Mytilus edulis: one gene and its partner. The protein of the gene in region 2 binds, or shares a complex with, the protein of the main gene of each other region. Links are inferred from orthologs where the notes say so. Each region holds a gene or a part of one and is shown on either strand. Other genes may lie near its edges.

What was found. Proteins that work in one complex are often made in the same cells at the same time.
Region 1: F-box only protein 10-like (region 2) and cullin-1-like share a complex: the UniProt entries of both Homo sapiens proteins name them as parts of the SCF(FBXO10) complex. The link is inferred for Mytilus edulis from reciprocal best matches to the Homo sapiens genes FBXO10 and CUL1.

The regions. Positions count from the first base shown.
Region 1 is NC_092345.1:9,610,302-9,621,335, reverse strand, and holds the start of cullin-1-like, read right to left. Parts: upstream 5,263-11,034; 5' UTR 5,160-5,262; intron 2,226-5,159; 5' UTR 2,119-2,225; coding exon 1,982-2,118; intron 1,294-1,981; coding exon 1,113-1,293; intron 164-1,112; coding exon 1-163. Other genes in the region: DAZ-associated protein 2-like, read left to right, coding at 7,667-7,817, 8,631-8,737, 9,512-9,640. UniProt on the Homo sapiens protein: Core component of multiple cullin-RING-based SCF (SKP1-CUL1-F-box protein) E3 ubiquitin-protein ligase complexes, which mediate the ubiquitination of proteins involved in cell cycle progression, signal transduction and transcription.
Region 2 is NC_092355.1:23,272,407-23,283,884, reverse strand, and holds the start of F-box only protein 10-like, read left to right. Parts: upstream 1-6,815; 5' UTR 6,816-6,941; intron 6,942-9,961; 5' UTR 9,962-9,993; coding exon 9,994-10,172; intron 10,173-11,478. UniProt on the Homo sapiens protein: Substrate-recognition component of the SCF (SKP1-CUL1-F-box protein)-type E3 ubiquitin ligase complex. Mediates the ubiquitination and degradation of BCL2, an antiapoptotic protein, thereby playing a role in apoptosis by controlling the stability of BCL2.

The sequences.
Region 1 (11,034 bases), on a different chromosome or scaffold from region 2:
AAATTTCATAAATGCCTTTAGTTCCTTCATCACATTCTCTCCTGACCCAATGTCTGTTTAGATAGGCACACACTCCATTTAATACTTTACTGGAAAACTGATAATCCTCCCATTGTTTGGTGTAGAATGATAGAACCTGCTCATCAAGAAAATCTTGTCCGTCCTGTTGGAGATACATGTAAAATTAAAATTTGACATATAAAAAAGTGCTGGTGAAAAATTTGGTAACGTTCATGTTCAGAATATCAACCTATGAAACTGACATAAAAGCCAAATTATAATGTTTAAAACTTTTCCCCCCTTTGGTTTAATGTTGAATGTGTCAAGAAGAGCAATATAAAGAATTAGAATTAATTAGAGTTCCAAATGGTGAAGTTGAAATCATCCCTTCGTAAATTTTACGGACGCCATCACGAGTTGGTTGACCGTTATGGAATAACCGTTTCACAAATGATATCGGATATGTTCCTTACGTCGTAACTACAATCCCCTTCCCTTTCATGAATGTGACCTACCGAATTAGACTATTTACCGGATTTGTAATCACATAAGCAACACGACGGGTGCCACATGTGGAGCAGGATCTGCTTACCCTTCCGGAGCACCTGAGATCACCCCTAGTTTTTGGTGGGGTTCGTGTTGTTTATTCTTTAGTTTTCTATGTTGTGTCATGTGTACTATTGTTTTTCTGTTTGTCTTTTTCATTTTTAGCCATGGCGTTGTCAGTTTGTTTTAGATTTATGAGTTTGACTGTCCCTTTGGTATCTTTCGTCCCTCTTTAAGAAATATGGGCTGTTGATCACGAATATATGATATCCTTCCTTTAAGGCCATAAAACAGTAGCAAGGGCAGATAAAACTGCATTCAAATTTAACGTCCTGTTTCCCATAGGTTCTGCTTCATGAAGAATGTTATGTCCAAATTGCAAGAAAAAAATCAACAGTAGATGTTTCTGTGTATGCATTTGTATCAAGAAAAATTGTCCAAGGCTTTTTATAATATAAAATTATAATTGAACATCATATTATTGAATAGTGTTCAATATAAATCAAATTTTTTAAGTCTGATTTCAAACAAAAGAAAGTAAATGTATAACATGACGTGTAACATACCCTCAACACTGTGACCAGGTAGGATTTAAGAAAATCTTTTAGTCTTTTATACAGCTCAAATCCAACAAACTGGGCTCCTCCTGTTGGTGGTTTTGGGCGACGCCCACCTTGTGCCCTTGAAGATGACTGTTGACCAGCTTGTCCAGACTGATGAACACTTGTACAGTAATTGTAAACATGTCTAAGTAAACATTAAGGAAGCAATATTTGATTAAATGACAAGTTCACATGTGGTTCCATTTGTTCATGTTTACCAGTGCTATTTAGAATTCGAATAAAACAGAAGTACACAGGATGAATTGTCTCACCTGCTTTACTGACCGTTGAGTTATGTTAAAATAATGTGTTTCATAGTGGCTTAATATTTTCAAAACCAATAATGTTCAAAGCTTTTTGCATTTGTTATAAAAAGAAGAAGATATTTATTTCCAATTATAGGCCCAAAAGGGTATAAATATTACAACATCAATAATTTTCATAATACAATACAAACAATGATATAAAAAAAAATTAATGTCAGAGAACTTTTCAAGTTCTTAAAGAATATGTAGATAAAGAATCTATAGTATGTTTTTTTTTAATATAATGCATTTTAATGCAAGTGTGGTTGATATAAATAACAAACAAGCAGCCCAAAAATAAAGTTAAACCTTACTTTTCTAACTACATGCAAGATTATTGGTTATAAACCCCAAAATTCATGGTATTAATCTCCCCCCCCCCCCCCCCCCTACTAAAAATTTGAAAATTCAGTTTAATTTACAGTAGAACACATCTATCATTTGTCTATGGGATTGAACTGTTTAAACTGAAATGTTTTTATTAATCTCTTGATGAATCACAGATTCACATTAAATGTAAAAGGATACGTGTATAGTTCCATGTATCTGTTTCTAGCCATGCTCTGTCGGTTGTATACATGTTTGATTCCTCCTCGTAGATCATCCCAAATCTGGTCTAATCCAATCTGCTTCAATCCATGTGGATTCTGACGTGATCCTGCCATTTTTTAACCTTATTTAAATCTTCAGTAGAAATGTTATAAGCAGAAATTTTTCACATCAAAGTCAGTTGATATCCATTTTGTGAACTTATAATTAATCAAATCTGGATCTAAAATTCAAACAGAATGAAATAATATATGAAACAATATACATTCAGTGCTGAAGACATGCCTGACATGCTTGAAAATACATACAAATGTACAGAATGGGTAAAAACTTTAGAAGATATTGGTAGATATGTTTTTTGGATGAAAACAGACTTCATGACCCAGATATTCCTTCAAATAAATTTAGCCAATTTAACAGTCCTAATGACTGGTAACCAAAGTGTGTGTGACCCCATAATTTGCAGCCAAAACATGTTGAGATATTGTTTTCTTGTCAGGCCATTATTAATGTATGTGCCTGTCCCAAGTCAGGAGCCTGTAATTCAGTGGTTGTCATTTGTTTATGTGTTACATATTTGTTTTTCTTCATTTTTCTTATATAAATAAGGCCGTTAGTTTTCTCGTTTGAATTGTTTTACATTGTCATATCGGGGCCTTTTATAGCTGACTATGCGGTATGGGCTTTGCTCATTGTTGAAGGCTGTAAGGTGACCTATAGCTGTTAATGTCTGTTTCATTTTGGTGTCTTGTGGACAGTTGTCTCATTGGCAATCATACCACATCTTCTTTTTTATATATACTAGCTTGTTTTCTTTGAAATTGTTAAATAATACTTTGAAAAATGTGACCAAATGCCAAAGTTTTTAATGAAATTTGTGGAGCTTGTGATACATGTACATATTTTCAGACTAGTATGTAGATCTGGCACATTTATTAAGGTTCATCATAAAAAATGGACAAATATGGCCGTATTTTCACCACAAAAACTACTCTGTGTACAAACTTACCTGTGCTGTTTGGAAAGTTTTAATGCCTAGCATCCACTAGATATATAAAAGTTAAATGCATTTTGTGTTTAAGAAAATCTTTCTTGGTTTTTGATGGGCATTTTTTTTCCTTTCTTCAGGTGTAAAAATAAACAGGCACCTGAATTACTTTGATACTGTCCACTCACTGACTCAGATAAACTCTTTAAATTCACCTATAGTCATGATAGTTGTGAAGATACTTCTTGTCCATGTCAATTAAGGACAATCCAAACAATACAAACCGTTTTTTTACCTGAGGGAACATCTCATAGTTGTACCACAACTTAGTTAATTTTCACACCTTTTGCATGAAGGAAAAAAATGCCCATCAAAATCAAAAAGAGATTTAACTTTATTATATCTATTGGATGCCAGGCATTAAAACTTTTCCAACTTCACAGGTAAGTCTGTACTCAAGAGTAATTTTTGGCATGTAAATACAGCCATATTTGTCCGTTTGTTATGATGAACCTTAAACAATTATATTTTGGTGACCAATTTAAGAATTTTTAATGTTGGAGTTAACCACTAATCAGCTTTTACTATGAATAAAATTGAGAATGGAAATGGGGAATGTGTCAAAGAGACAACAACCCGACCAAATAAAAAAAACAACAAAACAACAGCAGAGGGTCACCAACAGGTCTTCAATGTAGCGAGAAATTCCCGCACCCGGAGGCGTCCTTCAGCTGGCCCCTAAACAAATATATACTAGTCCAGTGATAATGAACGCCATACTAATTTTCAAATTGTACACAAGAAACTAAAATTAAAATAATACAAGACTAACAAAGGCCAGAGGCTCCTGACTTGGGACAGGCGCAAAAATGCGGCGGGGTTAAACATGTTTGTGAGATCTCAACCCTCCCCCTATACCTCTAACCAATGTAGAAAAGTAATTGCATAACAATACGCACATTAAAATTCAGTTCAAGAGAAGTCCGAGTCTGATGTCAGAAGATGTAACCAAAGAAAATAAACAAAATGACAATAATACATAAATAACAAGACTACTAGCAGTTAACTGACATGCCAGCTCCAGACTTCAATTAAACTGACTGAAAGATTATGATTTCCTCATATGAACATTAGGCACAATCCTTCCCGTTAGGGGTTTAGTATCATACCATCATAACATATATGAGAAGAACATAACCCGTGTCATGCCAACAACTGTTTTTAGAATAAATGTGTTTAGTTCCGATGCAAAGACCTTATCAGTGAGTCAATATTAACGCCAAAATATGCAATCTTTAATGACTTGACAACAGTATCGTAATTATATCCCTTCTTAATAAGTCTATTCAAAGGTTTGAAGTACATATGTAATAGCTTCCGCATGTGACATTGGAAATGTGTAGAGAACTGCATGAATGTGACAGTTATTGGAATCTTCTAAAACTACATTTGCACAATGATATTAAATTTTGAGTTAACATATGTGATTGCGCTATCCTACTCATCTTTTTTTAACTGAAACGCGACAATATGGCAATGTACATGAATATATTGACTATTGATCACAGGCACTTGTTTCTATCCATAGGAAGGTCGACTATCCATATAATGCTTCTATTTATATGGATAGTCAACATTCCTATGGATAGAAACAAGTGCCTGTGCTATTGATGTAAATTTGTGTAGACATTTGTTGCATCTGAACTTGAAACAGGTTCTCACTCATACTCAGATGTTTAACCAACAAACTGACAAATTCATTAAAAATCTTAGAATTATAAATATGTTAATTTTGCCCTCTGTACTTTAAAGTGTCATTGATAAAAATAAAGATGAATAATCAGTTCCTTAGTCCTCCTTTTATGAGTTTATCTGTTGAATGATATATTTCTGTTTCTTTTTTAAAATTCATTGTAACAAATGTAGCCCGTTTTTATATAATAGTCAAACGATCCCATTAAAACAGGTTAAGATGTTTAAATTACAAAGAACTTGGACAAAAAAATCGTTGTTTAAAAGATAACCTCTTCAAAATGGCGACCGTCCATATCATTTTTGACAAAAGTGTGTTTATTTTTGAAAAATCTACTGAACTCTAACACGAATCTATTATGAAATATGACAATGATATAAAAACGGAAACTGTGTTACATTATTTGATTTTTTTACCATTTATGTAGTCGTTTCCTATTGAATTTCATTTCATTATGGAATCAATAGCGATTGACCTCATTTGAATTGTCTCCCGTTTGTACAAAAATTCCCCACAGAGGGCGTTAAATGCTAAACTATTTGATAACAAATCTTAAAATATTCAACCAGATTATTATCCATACATAATTATTTCTAAAAAATTGAAAACAATGATTATATTAATATTCATATCTAATTGATGAACCTGTAAATTTAACTTTTTTACAGATTTACTGATATTGTTTTGTTATCTTTTATAAGGAATCGTGAGAAATCAGTCAACCAGAACAGATGATCAAAGCTCACAAGAGAGAATTGTAAACAATATTATTACGAAATTTTAGAATGTCAGGTAAGAGACGTACAACAGTGTTAAAGATCTGCTAAAATTATCAAGTTATCCGGGATAAAAATTATTACTGTCTATAAAAATGAGAAGAGAAAAACTAAGGTTTATTTCTACTAAATTAATATATTTTTGTTGTTAATCTACATCCTTGTTTACAAAGACAACAACATAATAAATGTTACAGGCAAATTTTCTAATTCTGATAAGTTACTTGTATCAGTTAAATTAAAATTTTAACATTTTTATTAATTTCAACATATTATTTTTATGAGCATGTTCTGTCAAATTAAGTTCTTGATGAGGTGGGTCCAAGCTACATTGTAGTCCAAATAATTATGATGTCTTGGAAGAATATTTTAAATATTTGCTTTGACGCTTTCCTTCGATGAAAGGCGTCTAAGAAAAAAAAATATAATAGCCTTTCAAGATGTCATAATTATTTGGACTAGGGTCCAAGCGTGATGCAGGATTGGCTGTTTTTTTTAAAGAGTGACATGTGAAAGTCGAACAATTAAGCATGAAAAATGGAAACAAAGAACGGCGAGACACTGATACAGGATTCTCACTAAACAATAAGCGGTATCCGGGATCAGACCCCCACTCAATGAGACCCCTGGCCTGATGAGCATGACAAGGAGACCTACATGTACCTGAGCTAATTTCACAAAAATTCTTTATGAATGATTCATAAAATGTGCATAATCATGATAATTTTAAAACATTCATTTCTGAAAATTATGTTCTTATAGTGCATTGCCGGATGCAGGTTGGAACCCCCCCTTTTTTTTGGCCAATCAAAGCATTTGAATGGGGACATATAGTTGGAACACCCCCTTTGTCCTAGGTTGGGACCCCCCTTTTTAAAATGGCTGGATCTGTGCCTGTTGTGTGTCATCATGGTCATAATTGAATAATAGGAAGAAATTTAAATAACCATGCATGCAGTCTTTTGTTGACTCATGTGACTGTCTTTGGAGGCTACTTTTTTCTTTATCTGAAGCAATCCCTGCCATGCTAGTTTTTTTATCTCCAGAAATAGTTTTACAGTAATGATTATAGCTAACATTCAAAATGAATTGGAGAACAGATCAATTTCCAACATATCATCACACTTAACTTACATGACTTAAACACATGAATTGAAAACAAAACTAGGACCTATTTCAGGCTTGTATGATTTGTAAAAAAAGTTTTTCATCAAGACTTAATTACATCAGCCAATACAAAACAATGATCTGCAGCTTAGTTTGTAAATCTGTGTTTCTTTATGATATATATGTTTTTAAACTTGTCTGATGAAGAAAAATTTATATATATGTTTAAAAATACCAATATTTGTAATATTGTTGCCAAAACCTGCAATAACATTTAAACAAGGAGAAACAGTATTTTATATCGTTAACTACTGTATTTGTAGTATTTTATAAAATGAATAAGTATTATTTGTATTTTAATAGTCTCTCATAATTCTTTTAAGAATGGCACATACATGTATTTAATTGTTTTAACTATGTTTACTGTATAATTAATTTTATAATTGTATCTTGTTTTAATCATGTTGTATGTGGTGATACTTTAATAAACTATTGAATCTGAATCTTTACATAAGTCAGGTAAGTGTAAAAATGTACCTAACAATCATCACTTGGAAAAATATACCTGGCAAGTGCTGTAAAAATGTATATGGGCCAATGAAAAATCCTTAAAAAATGAACATGCATGTAGTTTTCATTTAGATACAATGTACAGTCTATGGTTAACTTCTTGGGAACATGATTAAACCATTTCAAATCTCCACTGAATTTCAGGAAACATTTACAGAAGCTTGTTAGCAAAGAGAACAACTAATTCTACTGTCATACTGTACATCATTTAATGATGTTTTTAGATATATAAATACTGGAGATGTACATCTTCCTTAAACATGTAGAATGAACCCTGCATATATCATGTATATCCTACATCTTTTATTTGCACTTAAAAACACTTGTTTGCTACACATACATTATGTTTATTTTATATTCTGCAAATATGTTTTTTAGTGGTTGTTTTTTCATTCTATTAGTTTTGTGCTCTGCCATTAACTATTGTTATCTATGTATTTTAATTAAATAGTTATTATTGAGCTATATGCATGACAATAATAGTGTTTGTTTTCTCTCCAGGAAAACCAAATAAGTCACCTTACCAAACACCAGGGTATCCTACCCAGGGTTATCCCACCGCTGGTTACCCTACTCAACAATATCAGCAAGGGCCACCAGGATACAGTAGTAGCTTTGCTCGTAAGTAATTGAAGTACATGTATTCAACATACCAGTAACCTAGAATGTAGTTCTATCAAGTGAACCAATACCTGAAGTGGAAAACTAGTGGATTCAGCTAGGTATTCACAGTTGTCATAAAATAAATAAAAATATGTCGCCACAAAGACATCAACACTCAAATTTTCCCAGCATAGTATAGGTATAAAATGGTGTTTGTTAGACTTTGGATCTGCACATACATGTATCTCTTTTGTCAAATTTAATACTAAGAGTAAAATGCATGCTATACTTATTACTTCATCATGATCATAAGGACATTATAAAAGTTATATTTATACACTATATCATTCTATTCATGTATCTCTTCATGTGTTTGAAAAGTTTTACCATATTTGTTATTTCAGGGGCTAAATAATAGCTTTTATCATACTTTCTTCTTTACAAGATGACAAAAGTAAAACCTCAACTACACATGTACATAAATAAATACTAAAGATGTTAAAAATAGTACATGTATAGCTTATCTTAGTGTGAACACACCTACTTAATGGCAAAGTTAGCTCAAAGTGTGAATGCACTTACAGACTGGCAAAGTTAGTTGAAAGTGTTTTAAAGGTACCCAATCTACTGAACTCATGCCCTGTTGCTTTACCTCCTATAGCAAAATCATGACGCACTCGCAATGTAGTTATAATGTCCAAGTATGTGACATCTGATCCATGTGATTAAGATGAAAATATGATTTTATATAATGTCCAATGCATTTTTGATAAGATCAAAAGTTTCTTCAACTTATAAAGCATGTAAAGTGAAAACCTTTGTATTTAACAGATGGCTCACCAGCTCCAGGTGTGACAGTAACTCACATGGCACAGTCTTATCAATCTCCTGGAGCCTATGGTGCACCACCTCAGGGACCACCACCACCCTATTCATACGTAAGTGTCTTTAATAGCATATGTATAGTAACTGCTGAACTTTTTTCATGTGAGTCATAATAATATGTTTAAGGATTTCTAGAATATACCTGCGCTGACATGTTAAGTGTCAAGTCTAGTAATTTCATAAGTTCTTTAGTCAGTAATTTTGTTTACTTAAATTTAAGATTAAATGGACAACCAACAACTTGATTTACGACAAAACAATATATAAAAATCAAATATGACAGGCAGCAACCACTGAATAACATGATTCTCATGAATTGGAACTGGCAAATAAAGAATGTGGCGTGTTAAACATGTTTGTGAGTGCTCAATCCTTCACCTAATCTGGGTTTTTTTCTGAAAATGTTTGTAACAAGTTATAATTTTGTTATTGTTCAATGGGAGTTTTAATAGCATAGACAATTTTGATTAAATAAACTAAATTTTGAGAAAAATGAAATAAATATTATCGTAAAAACAACATTAGAGCTTGTCAATTGTCTAAATATTCATGAATAAAAATAAAATGTTCAATTGTTTTTATAATATCTCCTTTCGCCAATAATAATTAGGTCAGAACCAAGAAAGCAGTTTCTTGTTCTTAATAGAAGGTAGTATGTAATCAATGAACATGCACATTTTCAGTATGTAAAAGTAAGCATACTTTTTCTTGCAAAACAAATACCATTAAATTTAATTAAATTTAATTGAGCAGACTACTTTTGTAAAAAATGTATATATCTTTCTTGTCTGTAAGTACATATTGTAAGTTTTTATTTTTTATTTTAGGCCCCTCCACAACAAGGTTATCCAACACAACAAGGAGGTTATCCAACACAACAACCACAACCATTTGTAGCCAATAATGTCTTTGATTCAGGTGCCAGATTTGACGGAATAGCACAGCCCAATATACCTGTAAGTTTAAGAGTAATAGCAATTGTTCTGTACCAGCCATTAGTCATGCTTGTACAGGCTTCAATGAAGACAAACCACAACATCTGTATCATATCAAATCAAAATCATCAATAAGTACATGTATATAATTATGAAATAATTCATGGGGACTTGAATTTATACTGATATAAGCACAGGTTGGCCCTTTATACTAAATATTTTACCATGAGCGACAGCGAGGGTTAAAATAGTGGCATAAATGGCAAACTGGTTGTAAATTCAGTATAAATTCAAGCCCCCATGAATTAATTGTTTTCTAATAGGACAAATACAGCAATTCTTTTGGATCAAGGCGCTCAAGGTATAGGCAAATATTTGCCGTTTTTAAAATAAACGCACTTTTAATTTGATGTTAAAGAACGGAGCAAATTGAATAAGTGACATGCTTAAACTATTTTCAATAACATATTTAGAGAGGTTTAGATAAATTTAAATGATAATTCTAATATGACGTGCTTCTTTCGCTTTGTAAACAACACCGTGATAAAATTCTCGATATATCTATACTTAGCGCAGACTCCTAGATGTACACAGATGGCTGTTTAAATATGCCTCCCACGTAAATCCACATGTATCGTAACCTATGTGTAAACGGTTGTGGATTTCACTGTGTTAACAATTACAATTGAATAAAACCCTACAGAACATTTATTTTGATTCTGACGCATAACAAAGAGAATTTACACATTAGAGAACGGAAAAATGGACAAAAACAAAATAAATTAAAATTCCGCGAAATTCCAGTAATGATTTTGGCGCATTAACGTCATTTCAAAACATGACGTCATACGAATGAAAACGTCAAAGCTGAAGGTTTTTCTTTTGCGTTAACCGTCTAAACTCGGATACAATTGCATTAAAATAAAGTATTGAGGTAGGTGTTGCTTGTTTTCTGTTCTATTGCATTATTCGCACATTTACTGATTTCAGCAAGTCAACATGGCGGCTCCTTGGTTACAACAGTGAATTTGACGGTAGCTTACGATAAAAAATGTAAATTTGAAATTGCAAATGTTGGGTTTACTGAGAAGTAAAAAAAGTAATGACATTTTTTTCTAGCGGCTAGTTAAGAAATCATTCATGCAGGTTTATTAGATTTGTTTTACATTTATCGAGTAGTGGGTAAAATAGAACAGCCACACACACGGTATACCCATCATCGCTTCAGTTTTTTAATGATCGTATTTGTCCTTTTAGAATCAAAATAATTCATGGAAGCCATAGATTTGTTGGAAATTTACACATGGCCTGGGCCGTGGTATTCGTTAATTTTATCCCTCGCTAACGCTCAGGATAAAATTCGAATATCACGGCCCAGGCCATGTGTAAATTTCCAACAAATCTATGGCTTCCAT
Region 2 (11,478 bases):
CTTGGTGTGATCAATGATTTTATGCTCGACATAAACCACTGATGATATATATCGATAATAAAATTGAGAACGGAAAACATGGGGAATGTGTCAAGGAGGCAACAACCCGGCTATAGAACAGACAACAACAGAAGGTCACCAACATGTCTTCAACTTGTGCAGCGAGAAATTCCCGCACCCGGAGGTGTTCTTCAGCTGGCCCCTTAATTAAAGGGAAATCACACTATTTATACTACTAATAATAATTCATTGAAATTTTGCATGCAGACAGATCATACTTATTACAACATTTTAGGCGAAAAAACAATTGGGGTCACCGATGTTGTTTTCGAGATATGACGTCATCAAAAAGTAAAGAATCGCGTTATACCGAAATATAGAAGTAGCGCTTTAAGTTGCTAATTGAAGGCGAAATTATTGAAAAACGATCTTTCACTGGTATAACTAAAACATTCAATTGTAACTTTTACCTTATACACATTTATTTTTCTCAGTTTCTTTATTTTTCAAGGCCTTTGAACATTTCCCGCCATTTTTAATTTCTATTTATTATAGATTTTTCTTGAAATAAAAAAAATCTACTAATGTTTTTTCCTTCAAACTTCTGCATAAGCTGCAGCTTCAGGGGAGATTTTAAAAGCATAAATAAAAAAGGGGGGTCACCGATGTTTTAAATCCGCTAAAACGGAAATAATCTTATTATCGATTTTTGGCGGGAACTATAACTAACGCTCAGAGAACGACATTGCTAACATAGGAGCATTTCTTGCAATGCTTGGAACTATTGGGTTGACTTAAACCTTTTCACTTCAAAATATAATATCATTTTTTCAAGGTATTTCGATTATTAATTGATATTTTTATCAATCTATAGAAACGTTTTAACATTACATACTGTAACAGTTTATTATAACGTAATTGTCAAAGTTGAAGTCATCTGAATTTTTTAATTGCATTTGTTGTATAGGGAAAACGATTGTCTGCCTCGTGCCGTATTAGAAATAATTTACGGATCCGGATTTACAGATTTAGAATCCTCTACTTCGGAATACTGAGGGTATCCGGGCTGAAAGTAACACGTTCCATTTAGACTACAAACAGAATATATTCACTAACTTGTCCATTCGCACCGGGAAGATAAAACCTGAAATGCCGTATTAAAAAGCCACAAACTCGGCACTTTTAAAAAAGCCCTTAACGACACCATTTTCGGAAGAAATTTAAAATTGGTTAACATTCCCGTAATTACATAACGCTCCATAATCGCACCAACGTTAGTTCGACTTTCAGTGAAATTTTGAGTTAAAGTTCGAGTTTTATTTTGATTTCGAACATTTATTCCAGTAAGAGTTCTAGTCAAAGCTCGAGTTACACTTATAAACTTCCGAGTTATACTGTTAGATAGAGTAAAAATTCTGGTAAGAGTTAAAATTTTGAGATCCGATGAAATTAGGAGTAAGATTGCAGTTTCTATTTTCTGTGGGTGCACCTCTTTTTCTTTAAATGTATATTCTTTTATTACATTTATATTTTATTACGGTATATGCCAATACTGATTAATGATAGTTAATTTGAAAATAACTGATTGAATCTGTGTGCCAATTTAAGCACTCTCTGCTATATCATATTGGCCATTTTTTTTTCTCAAAAGAACCGAAGAATCAAGAGCTTATCATCTACCTTTGTATTAAAAAAAAAACTGGTTGACCTTTTCAGTCATGGTCGGAATCCGACAATCTCACTGTATCAATGTCTACAGCCAAGGGGGGTTAGCCAAGTGATCACATTGAACACGAACCTACATCTGAGCTATTAGGCAGCAACCATTTGATTTTCTGGGGGGGGGGGGGGGGGGGCTATGGTTTTTTTTTCTGTACAAACTTTTTTTTTCGCCTGCGGCGAAAAACAATCTATTTTTTTCGCGACAAGTCGAAAACAATTTTTTTCTTTCAATTTTAGCATTACATATAGTGGCAGCTGAGGGTGAAACAAACAATTTTTTTTTCTCAGAATCAAAAACAAATTATTTTTTTCTCCAAAAACTGGAAACAAACTTTTTTTTCCAAAAAAAAAACATAGCCCCCCCCCCCCCCCCCCCCCCAGAAAATCAAATGGTTGCTGCCTTATCAAAATTGAGAATGGAAATGGGGAATGTGTCAAAGAGACAACTCCACTGAAATTGTACACAAGAAACTAAAATTAAAATAATACAAGACTAACAAAGGCCAGAGGCTCCTGACTTGGGACAGGCGCAAAAATGCGGCGGTGTTAAAACATGTTTATGAGATCTCAACCATCCCCCTATACCTCTAGCCAATGTAGAAAAGTAAACGCATAAAAAAAAGTAACGAACATATGTGTAAAAAAGAATCCAGAAAATTGAAAGTTCTGAAAAAAAATTGGATCACACTTGAATAAACTGACAAAAATGGAAATTTACCATTCTTTTATCATGCCAAACCTAAGTTACTGTCCACTCACATGGCATTTTTGTAGCGAGCGCAACACCAAAAATATATATAAAAAAAAACCTGCCAGAACCGGAGCGCTCAGATTTATCTGTAAGGACTACAATAACTCATAGGAACAATTACTCGAACAATCTTAACTACCAACACTTAAAATCAGACGCACGAGAACCACGGCATAAAAAACTGTGACAAAATCCAGTCCAGAGCTCTTACACAATTAATTAAATTTTAAAAATTACTCGTATAATATTTTAGATATTAACTCACATAAACAAACATATCATATGCACATCAAAGATTAAGGCTTCTTCTTGACATTTGAAGGTCCCTACTATGTATTGGCTATCTAAACAACACACAAAAAAAACCATTTAAATATTGTTTCATCTCGGCCTCTAGTAAGTGTTCTACAAATAATTTTTCAGTGCTTTGAACAAGTAGCTTATCATAAACTATTGTAATAAAATATATGAACATAGTGGAATAAACTATTTTTGGAGTGAAACAAATTCTTTGGATGTTTTAGATAAATTACGTGCTTTTGATGGTCCTTTTGATTCTGTTGACAGTTTTGATTTTTCTACTCTTTACACTACACTTCCACACTATTTCATCAAACAAAAGTTTTCCTATTTAATTAAATGGTCGTTTAGTAAATCTGAATGCAAATATATTTGCTGCAGCACATTTAAAGCCTTCTTCTCTAATGAGAAAGGAAAATATGCTCGATATACTTACTGGAGGTGTGATAAGATGATTGAAGCTGTTAATTTTCTCCTTGATAATTTTATGTACGTTTCGGCAACAAAGTTTATCGACAGGTTGTGGGTATTCCTATGGGCACTAATTGCGCCCCTTTATTAGCAGACTTGTTTTTGTACTTTTTCGAATCACAGTTTAAGACTAAACTCAGTAAAGACCTGTCGAAATTGCATTTAATTGATAAATTCAACAACTCTTACCGTTATCTTGATGATATTTTTTCGTTAAATAATCCAGAATTTTCTCAATATACTGCTGAAATTTACCCCAAGGAACTTACTTTAAATAAATCAAATTTAACGTTAATAATCGTCTTTTCCTAGATTTATATATCTCGGTTTTAAACGGGAAACTCCACACTTAAATTTACGACGAAAGGGACGATTTTTCGTTCCCTATTCTTAAATTTTCCATTTTTAGATGGTGATGTTCCTTTGGCACTATCTTACTGTGTTTATATTTCACAGCTCGTTCGCTATGTCCGTGTCCGTTGTGATGTTTTTGATTTTAACGAACGTAATCTATGTATTTCTGGTGATTATTAAACCAGGGATCACGTTACCATAGATTACTTTACTAATTTTTTCCATAGATATAAAGATTTGGTTTTGTAGTTGTTCCTGTAGAAAACATATTTCAAGCGGGATAGCACATCCTCATTTTTACGGAAATGTTGTTAACCGTGCAAGGAAATTTAGAAATGATCCTGGTAAACTTATTGCTCCTTTAAATAAACTTATTCTAAAAGGTTACTAATTCAACACTGTAATAAGATCATTGAATATTGTTTTTATTGGTATAAATATTGATTTTGTTATCAGTAAATAAAAAGCAAACTAAATATTACTGGTATGTTATATACATAAACACATTCATGGATCTAATGTACAATGTGTCGATACCTGTATCTTGGCATTGCACGAGGTCATGTTTTCTCTGACTGTTTATGACGTCTTTACACTAAATCCATTGGATGTTGGATGTGTACGGATTGGTAATTTATTCTTAGATGCATGATTTTTTTTAATTATATGTTAGTGGCTTTGAACTAGCTGTCTGTTAACTGCGAGTACTCTCAGATCTTTTCCTAGCGTCTTTTTGTTGTTGGGTTGTACCAGTACCCGGCCACGCCCACTTGTATTTTTGTCCATCTGTATAGTTAATTCTTTTTCAACTGATTTTTATAATTCGTTCTTATGTTGTACTGTTATATATCACTGTCCCAAGTTAGGGGGAGAGTTAAGATCCCGCTAACATGTTTAACCCCGCCACATTTATATGTATGTATGTGCCTGTCCCAAGTCAGGAGCCTGTAATTCAGTGGTTGTCGTTTGTTTATGTGTTACATATATTTGTTTTTCCTTCATTTTTTTTTTATATAAATAAGGCCGTTAGTTTTCTCGTTTGAATTGTTTTACATTATCATTTCGGGACCTTTTATAGCTGACTATGCGATATTGACTTTGCTCATTGTTGAAGGCCGTACGGTGACCTATAGTTGTTTATTTCTGTGTCATTTTGGTCTCTTGTTGAGAGTTGTCTCATTGGCAATCATACCACATCTTCTTTTTTATATTATAATTTATTATTTTCTTTTAGATATCAAAATCTCTGGAATCGGGAAAAACACCAAAAGACTGGAAACATGCAATTGTTGCACCAGCATTTAAAAAGGGTGAACGATACAAGGCTGAAAATTATAGACCGATTTCACTCACTTGTATTTGTTGTAAGTTGATGGAACATATAGTGACAAGTAACATTATGAACTATTTAGAGGCAAATAACATTCTTTACGACCTCCAACATGGTTTCCGAAAATCCAGATCATGCGAATCACAACTTATTCAATTTATACAAGAACTTCATAACAACAACAGCAAAAATATACAAACAGACCTCATTATTATGGATTTTGCCAAGGCCTTTGATAAGGTTTCCCACAAACGTCTACTCTATAAACTAAAATACTATGGCATTCGAGGTAACACTCTAAAATGGATTCAGGCTTTCTTATCAGACCGTACGCAAACAGTGGTAATAGATGGAATAACATCAAATACAGCACCAGTAACATCAGGTGTCCCCCAAGGAACTGTCCTTGGGCCTATACTCTTTTTAATATACATTAATGATTTTCCAGAATACCTGGAACACAGCAAACTACGACTCTTCGCTGATGACAGTATTATATACCAAGAAATAACATGTCAACAAGACTGCACAAATTTACAAAAAGATCTTAACGCAGCAGCGAAATGGGAGGCTGATTGGCTCATGGCCTTCCATCCTGGAAAATGCACTATCTTAACCATCACACAAAAAAAAAAAAACCATTTAAACACGATTACATCCTTCATAACCATACTTTAGAACTAGTAACATCTGCAAAATATCTTGGCGTAACCCTACAGTCTAACTTAAAATGGAACATTCACTACAACAACATCGTATCAAATGCAAATAAATCTCTTGGCTTTCTTAGGCGAAACTTAAAAATTTCTAACTCCAGTATCAAATCCCGTGCTTACCAATCAATAGTGAGACCAAAACTTGAATATGCCTGTAGTCTATGGGATCCACACACAGCAGATTATAAAAATAAGCTAGAAATGGTACAGAGGCGTGCGGCCCGATATGTATGTAACAATTACCACAACACCAGTAGTGTTACATCCATGTTAAACGAACTACAATGGCCCTCACTTAGTGAGCGCCGCCTCAAAACCAGACTTATCATGTTCTACAAGGTCATCCATGGACTCATTGCAATCCCATCACTAGTCCTCATACCATCAGATACTAGAACAAGAAAATTACATACTCAAACATTTCGGCAAATATCCACCTCTAAAGACAGCTACAAATGGTCATTCTTTCCGCAAACAATCATTCAATGGAACATGTTGCCACAAGTTGTGGTAGCAAGTCAAACCATTGAAATTTACAGAGATCAGTTGACACCAACTGTTCTCCACAACATAATTTAATTCTATAAATAACAATGTACATATTTTTTAATCACTTGTTGTTTTCTTTCATGTAAATATCACCAAGTATTCTACTAAGTTAAAGCAAGGACGTATAACTAATATACGAGGCCTCTCATGGGGGGGGGGGGTCCTAGTAATCACATAATCACCATTTTTTTGCCAATATAATCACATAATCATTAAATATTTGCTTATCTTTAGTAATCAAATAATCATAAACTAAAAATACAGTCCTAGGTAATCAAATAATCATGAAATATTTGGCTAATAATCAAATAATCATTAAAAAAACGGCCAAGTAATCACATAATCAAAAACCCCATGAGGGCCCTCATATACGTCCTTGGTTAAAGATAAATTTTTGTTCATATTTTTTAATCATATACTCCGCGCATGCAACAGTTCGTAATCTTCAATAAAAATGAAGCTGTAACTGTATATCAGAAGAAGAAGAAGAAGAAGAAGAAGTCGATTAAGAGCTCCAGAGTCCATATTTACTATGTTAAATTGTACATATCATGTCCGATAAAACCATGTTACTTGCTTCCTTACTTATTTATCGTAGATTCCGGAAAATACAAGCTACTCCGTTATTGGTTTTTGTTATTATACACAGAAGTAAACAAAATTTTTGTCGCCTTGTTTACAGAACTTCGAAGTTGCAGATGAAGTAAATTTTATTTAAAGGACCAGTACAACAAAACCATAAAACATTGTAATAAGTCATTGCGTAAACCCTGAACTTAATGTTTGTTTCTAAACGAAACCACCAACCAAATGTAAAAAAGGGGGGTAGGCATGCCTTGCAGTGAAACGATAAAATGTTGTCGGTAAATTCGTCAATTTAACACACATTTAAACTAACAATTCGTGTCACATTTTCGTGTTAATTGCATATATATGCATAGGTAAATGTCACAATGTAAATTTGTTACAGGTAGATCATTAGGAGGTGGGTCTCTTTGGGTCTAAGTGTGACACGGGATTGCCAATTTTTTGTAACCGTGACAAGTGAAAGTCAAATTATTGTGCCGTAAAAACGGGAAATGAAGTCTAGTGGGAAACAGGAAATTACAAAAAATGAGAATTGCTTACTTACTTAGTGTAAGCAGGAAACGGGATTAGAACCCCACCCCCCTATGAGGTTAGTATTGCCCTGTATTGTCAGGCTTCAAACAGTCCTTTACAGCTACCGTTAGCATCAAATTGGTTAAAATTTCTGTGATTTGGCAACATATTCTTATCACGATTATATCTATCTATCATGATTAATCAGAGGTCTCAAATAAGTATCGTTACCATCATTTGGCAAGAATTTCTACTGTTATATCATCATGGAGGTACCCGAATTACGACCCTCAGTTATCCCAAATTAGACTAGTCATATCAATCCTAATTTTCATATTCAATCACTGATCAGATTGGTAGGATAAAATACCATTCTGATCAATAACATTTTAATATTGATCTCTACAATCAGACAATGTTAAATGACATGTTCCATATTTTTGTAGATGATCAGTTAAATTAAAGATTTAAAGATCTAAGATCACTGCCTGCTTTTGGTGTCATTTTAATGAATATAAATTGTAATTTTCTTAGCTATATGTAGCACTGGATTAATTCTTTCTAGATTTACCATTTTTTTGGGGTCAAATTTTCAATGTGTATACAAATTGTTTATGCAAACAGTTGCTATTCGTCTTCCTGACTTGGGACAGGTGCAAAAATGTGACTGTTATAAAACATGTTTTGTGAAATTTCAATCCTCCCCCCTAAACCTCTATCCAATGTAGAATAATCAAACACACAGTAAAACTCAAGTCTGAGTCTGAGAAAACACCCATGTTTAACCCAGCCACATTCTTTAAGTGCCTGACCCAAGTCAAGAGCCTATAGTTCAGTGGTTGTTGTTGGTTCATGTCTGTCATATTTGTTTAAATGTTGTGTAATGAAATAAGCCATTAGTTTTTCTCATTTGAATTGTTTCATATTTTTCATGTCAAAATCATTATACATGAAATTTTTCGTCAAATTTTCATGGCTCTTGTGAAGGGGGTGATTACTGTAAACCAACTTATTTTCGTGGATACTTTATTTCGCGTTTTACGATTTCTAGTCCACTTCGCGGCTATTTAATTTCGCGATTTTCTTATCTACTTGATGTAGTTTGATAAGTAAAGATCCAAGTTACATGTATACATATTCGCGACGATTTATATTCGCGTTATTTTTCTACTCGCGAATGTCGCGAAAATAAATCGTTGCGAAAATAAGTTGGTTTACAGTATATATTTTGGTCTGCAGCTTGATAGGGATAAATTAATTTTAGTTATTCAAATGCTTTTGGCATTTAAAAATCAAACATGTTCTGTACTTTGACCTATAATGGTTTACTTTTATAAATTGTGACTTGAGAGCAGAGCTTTGGTCTAGATGTGAATAATAAGATGTGGTATTAGCGCCAATGGTACAAATCTCAATCCAAGTCCAAATGTATAAAAAGTTTACAATTTTAGGTCAAAGTACAACCTTCTACATTCTGAGCCTTCGATCAAACTCGAGGCTCACACTGAACTGCAGGCTATAAAGTGCCCCAAAGTGACTACTCTAAAACAATTCAAACAGGAAAACCAACAGTCTAATCTATAAATAAAATGCAAGAAACAAGAAACACATATCATATGAACTGATGATGGTAATGATTTAGGACTGAATTCTTGGGGAAATAAATGGAATTTGGTTTATAAAGCAAGACAATGAAAGGAGTAGGTCCGGTAAGACCCCTTTTTGGCCCCAAAATATAGCAGTTTTACAAAATTGTTAAAATGTAAACTTTTATTTATTAATTGAACAGTAGAATGCTTCTGTTACATAAATATGGGCTGTTTTTGACAATACAATGCACATATATCGGGTACAAGCACCATTAAGTCATGCTAAATCACTGAAATCTTCACAATTCTAGCATTCTAGTTAAATTTTAGACGGTTTTCGTGTAAAACGAAAGTGGCCACATTCGTATTCATCCTTAATATTAAAATGTAAGTTGTATTTTATGATAATACATAACATATATAAAGGTTGAGGATGAACACGGATGCGGCCACTTTCATTTTTGACAAAAACCATCTGAAAAGAGGCATTTTTTTGCATATTTGGTAGATTTTTCATATTTGAGCTTGCATCGGATCGTTTTTAATGACAAAATCAGTTAAAATCTTTCACATAAACTAATTGAATCAAATAAAATAGACACTTAAGTGTTTAAAAAGTGGGCAAAATCTTTCGTCAGATGAACCTGAAATTTGAGGCCAAAATCGGTCCTTATCGGACCTACTCCTTTTCACTTACGTCCAGTAGTTGTTATAAACATAACTGACTAGCTTCACAAACAAAATGGCTTCCTATTTTACCCCAACAAAATACGCAAAACTTTTTGCCATTTGTATCTTTTTTAAATAAGAAAAAAACAAAAATGTTGCAAAAAGAGTTGCAAGATGCAGAAACAAGATTTTTGACACTAATGAACCATGTCATAATTAAAAGTAAGCTGACATTATATGACAAAATTATAGAAAACTGTAGATACATGTAGGTCTGAAAGGGAACCTGTTTCCTGTTTCGAGGTGCAAACATTTTGGAAAAAAATCTAGAATTTTGTCTTTGTTGAAATCTAATTAATTGAAGTTTGTCATCTTTAAATTTTGTATGTCTATGTCTCATCATTTTCAGTTAAATATTGGTACGTATGATGGCATAGAAGGATGTCATCCCCTAGTGTCAAAGCTGAGAATGGGAGTAAGGTGTTGCCAGGAGACAAGTCTGGGTTGCCATGGGAGATATGGAGAATTATACTTTCCTATCTCACTGCAGAAGACCTCTGTGGATCAGCCTGTGTATGTAAAACATGGAATGATCTGGTTATGAGTCTGGACAGCACTAGGTAAATACAATAAAACAAGAAATGAATAGTAAAATAAAATGGATTTCAGAATTTTTCCTGTTGAAAAAGTTTTCTTAAGTTCATGAGCTTGGTAAAAGCTTGTAGAAACACTTATTTTGTTGTTGAAGAATTGAGTTTTTATTAGATAATTTAAATTCATGGTAATTCAAGTTTAACTGAACATATTAGAATTAAATCATAAATAATTTTATGAGAGGCATTTCTAACACTTATGGTTTAGTCCAATTACAAGGTACAAATGTAACTAACAAATTGTTTTGGCACTTAGAACATTGAGCTTTTGCAAACACGTGGATCAACCTAGTGCAAAACTTGAACCTTTGAAAAAAAAGTTCTGTAGATGACCAATCCAGTCAGAAGCCTAGCAGATCAGAACACTAAATTGACAAAAGTACATACATGAAATGTGAAATCGCTGTCTGTTAAGAGGCCTTAGAAGGGTCTTAAAAAATAAAATTAGAGAGGTCTATAGATGACCTTTAAAGACTCTGCATATAAAAAAGAAGATGTGGTATGATTGCCAATGAGACAACTATCCACAAAAGACCAAAATACCACAGACCAGTATAAGAAATAGATCATTAATCATGATAATAGAATAAGTAGACAGCTCTCTCACAAGCAAAAAACCCCTAACTGTAAAAATATAAGGGCATACACTACAGACACGGGGTCACATTCTACTGAATCCACACAGCACTAGTAACACACCCTGCAGAAAATATAAAAAAGAAGATGTGGTATGATTGCCAATGAGACAACTATCCACATATATGATATAGAGATTTTTATCATCCTTTGTTTCAATGCTTTGATCATGCTGCTAAAGTTTGTCTATTACAAATGCATCCCATATCATGTCAGATTATGATATGGCAAACTTAGGCTTTTGCAAACATCATATATATATATATATTTCATGATATAGAACAAACATAGGCTATACATAAAATAAGAATACATAACTCCATACATTGTCCTAAGGGAAATACCTTTTGTTGGACTTTCTATTCAGAAATATTTTTTATAACAAAATAACGAATTGAAAAAGGGAATGTGACAAAGAGACAAAAACCAGACCAAAAGCAGAAAACAGCCCAAGGCCACCAATGGGTCTTCAAAGTAGCTAGAATATCCTGCACACAGATGCAGACTTCATCTCGCCCCTACACAATAACGGATACTAGATCAGCGAAATGGTTACCAATCATTATCTAAAGTCTGAAAAAACAAATAAAACTAATTACAAAAAACACACAAGACTAACAAAGGCTAGAGTCACGAC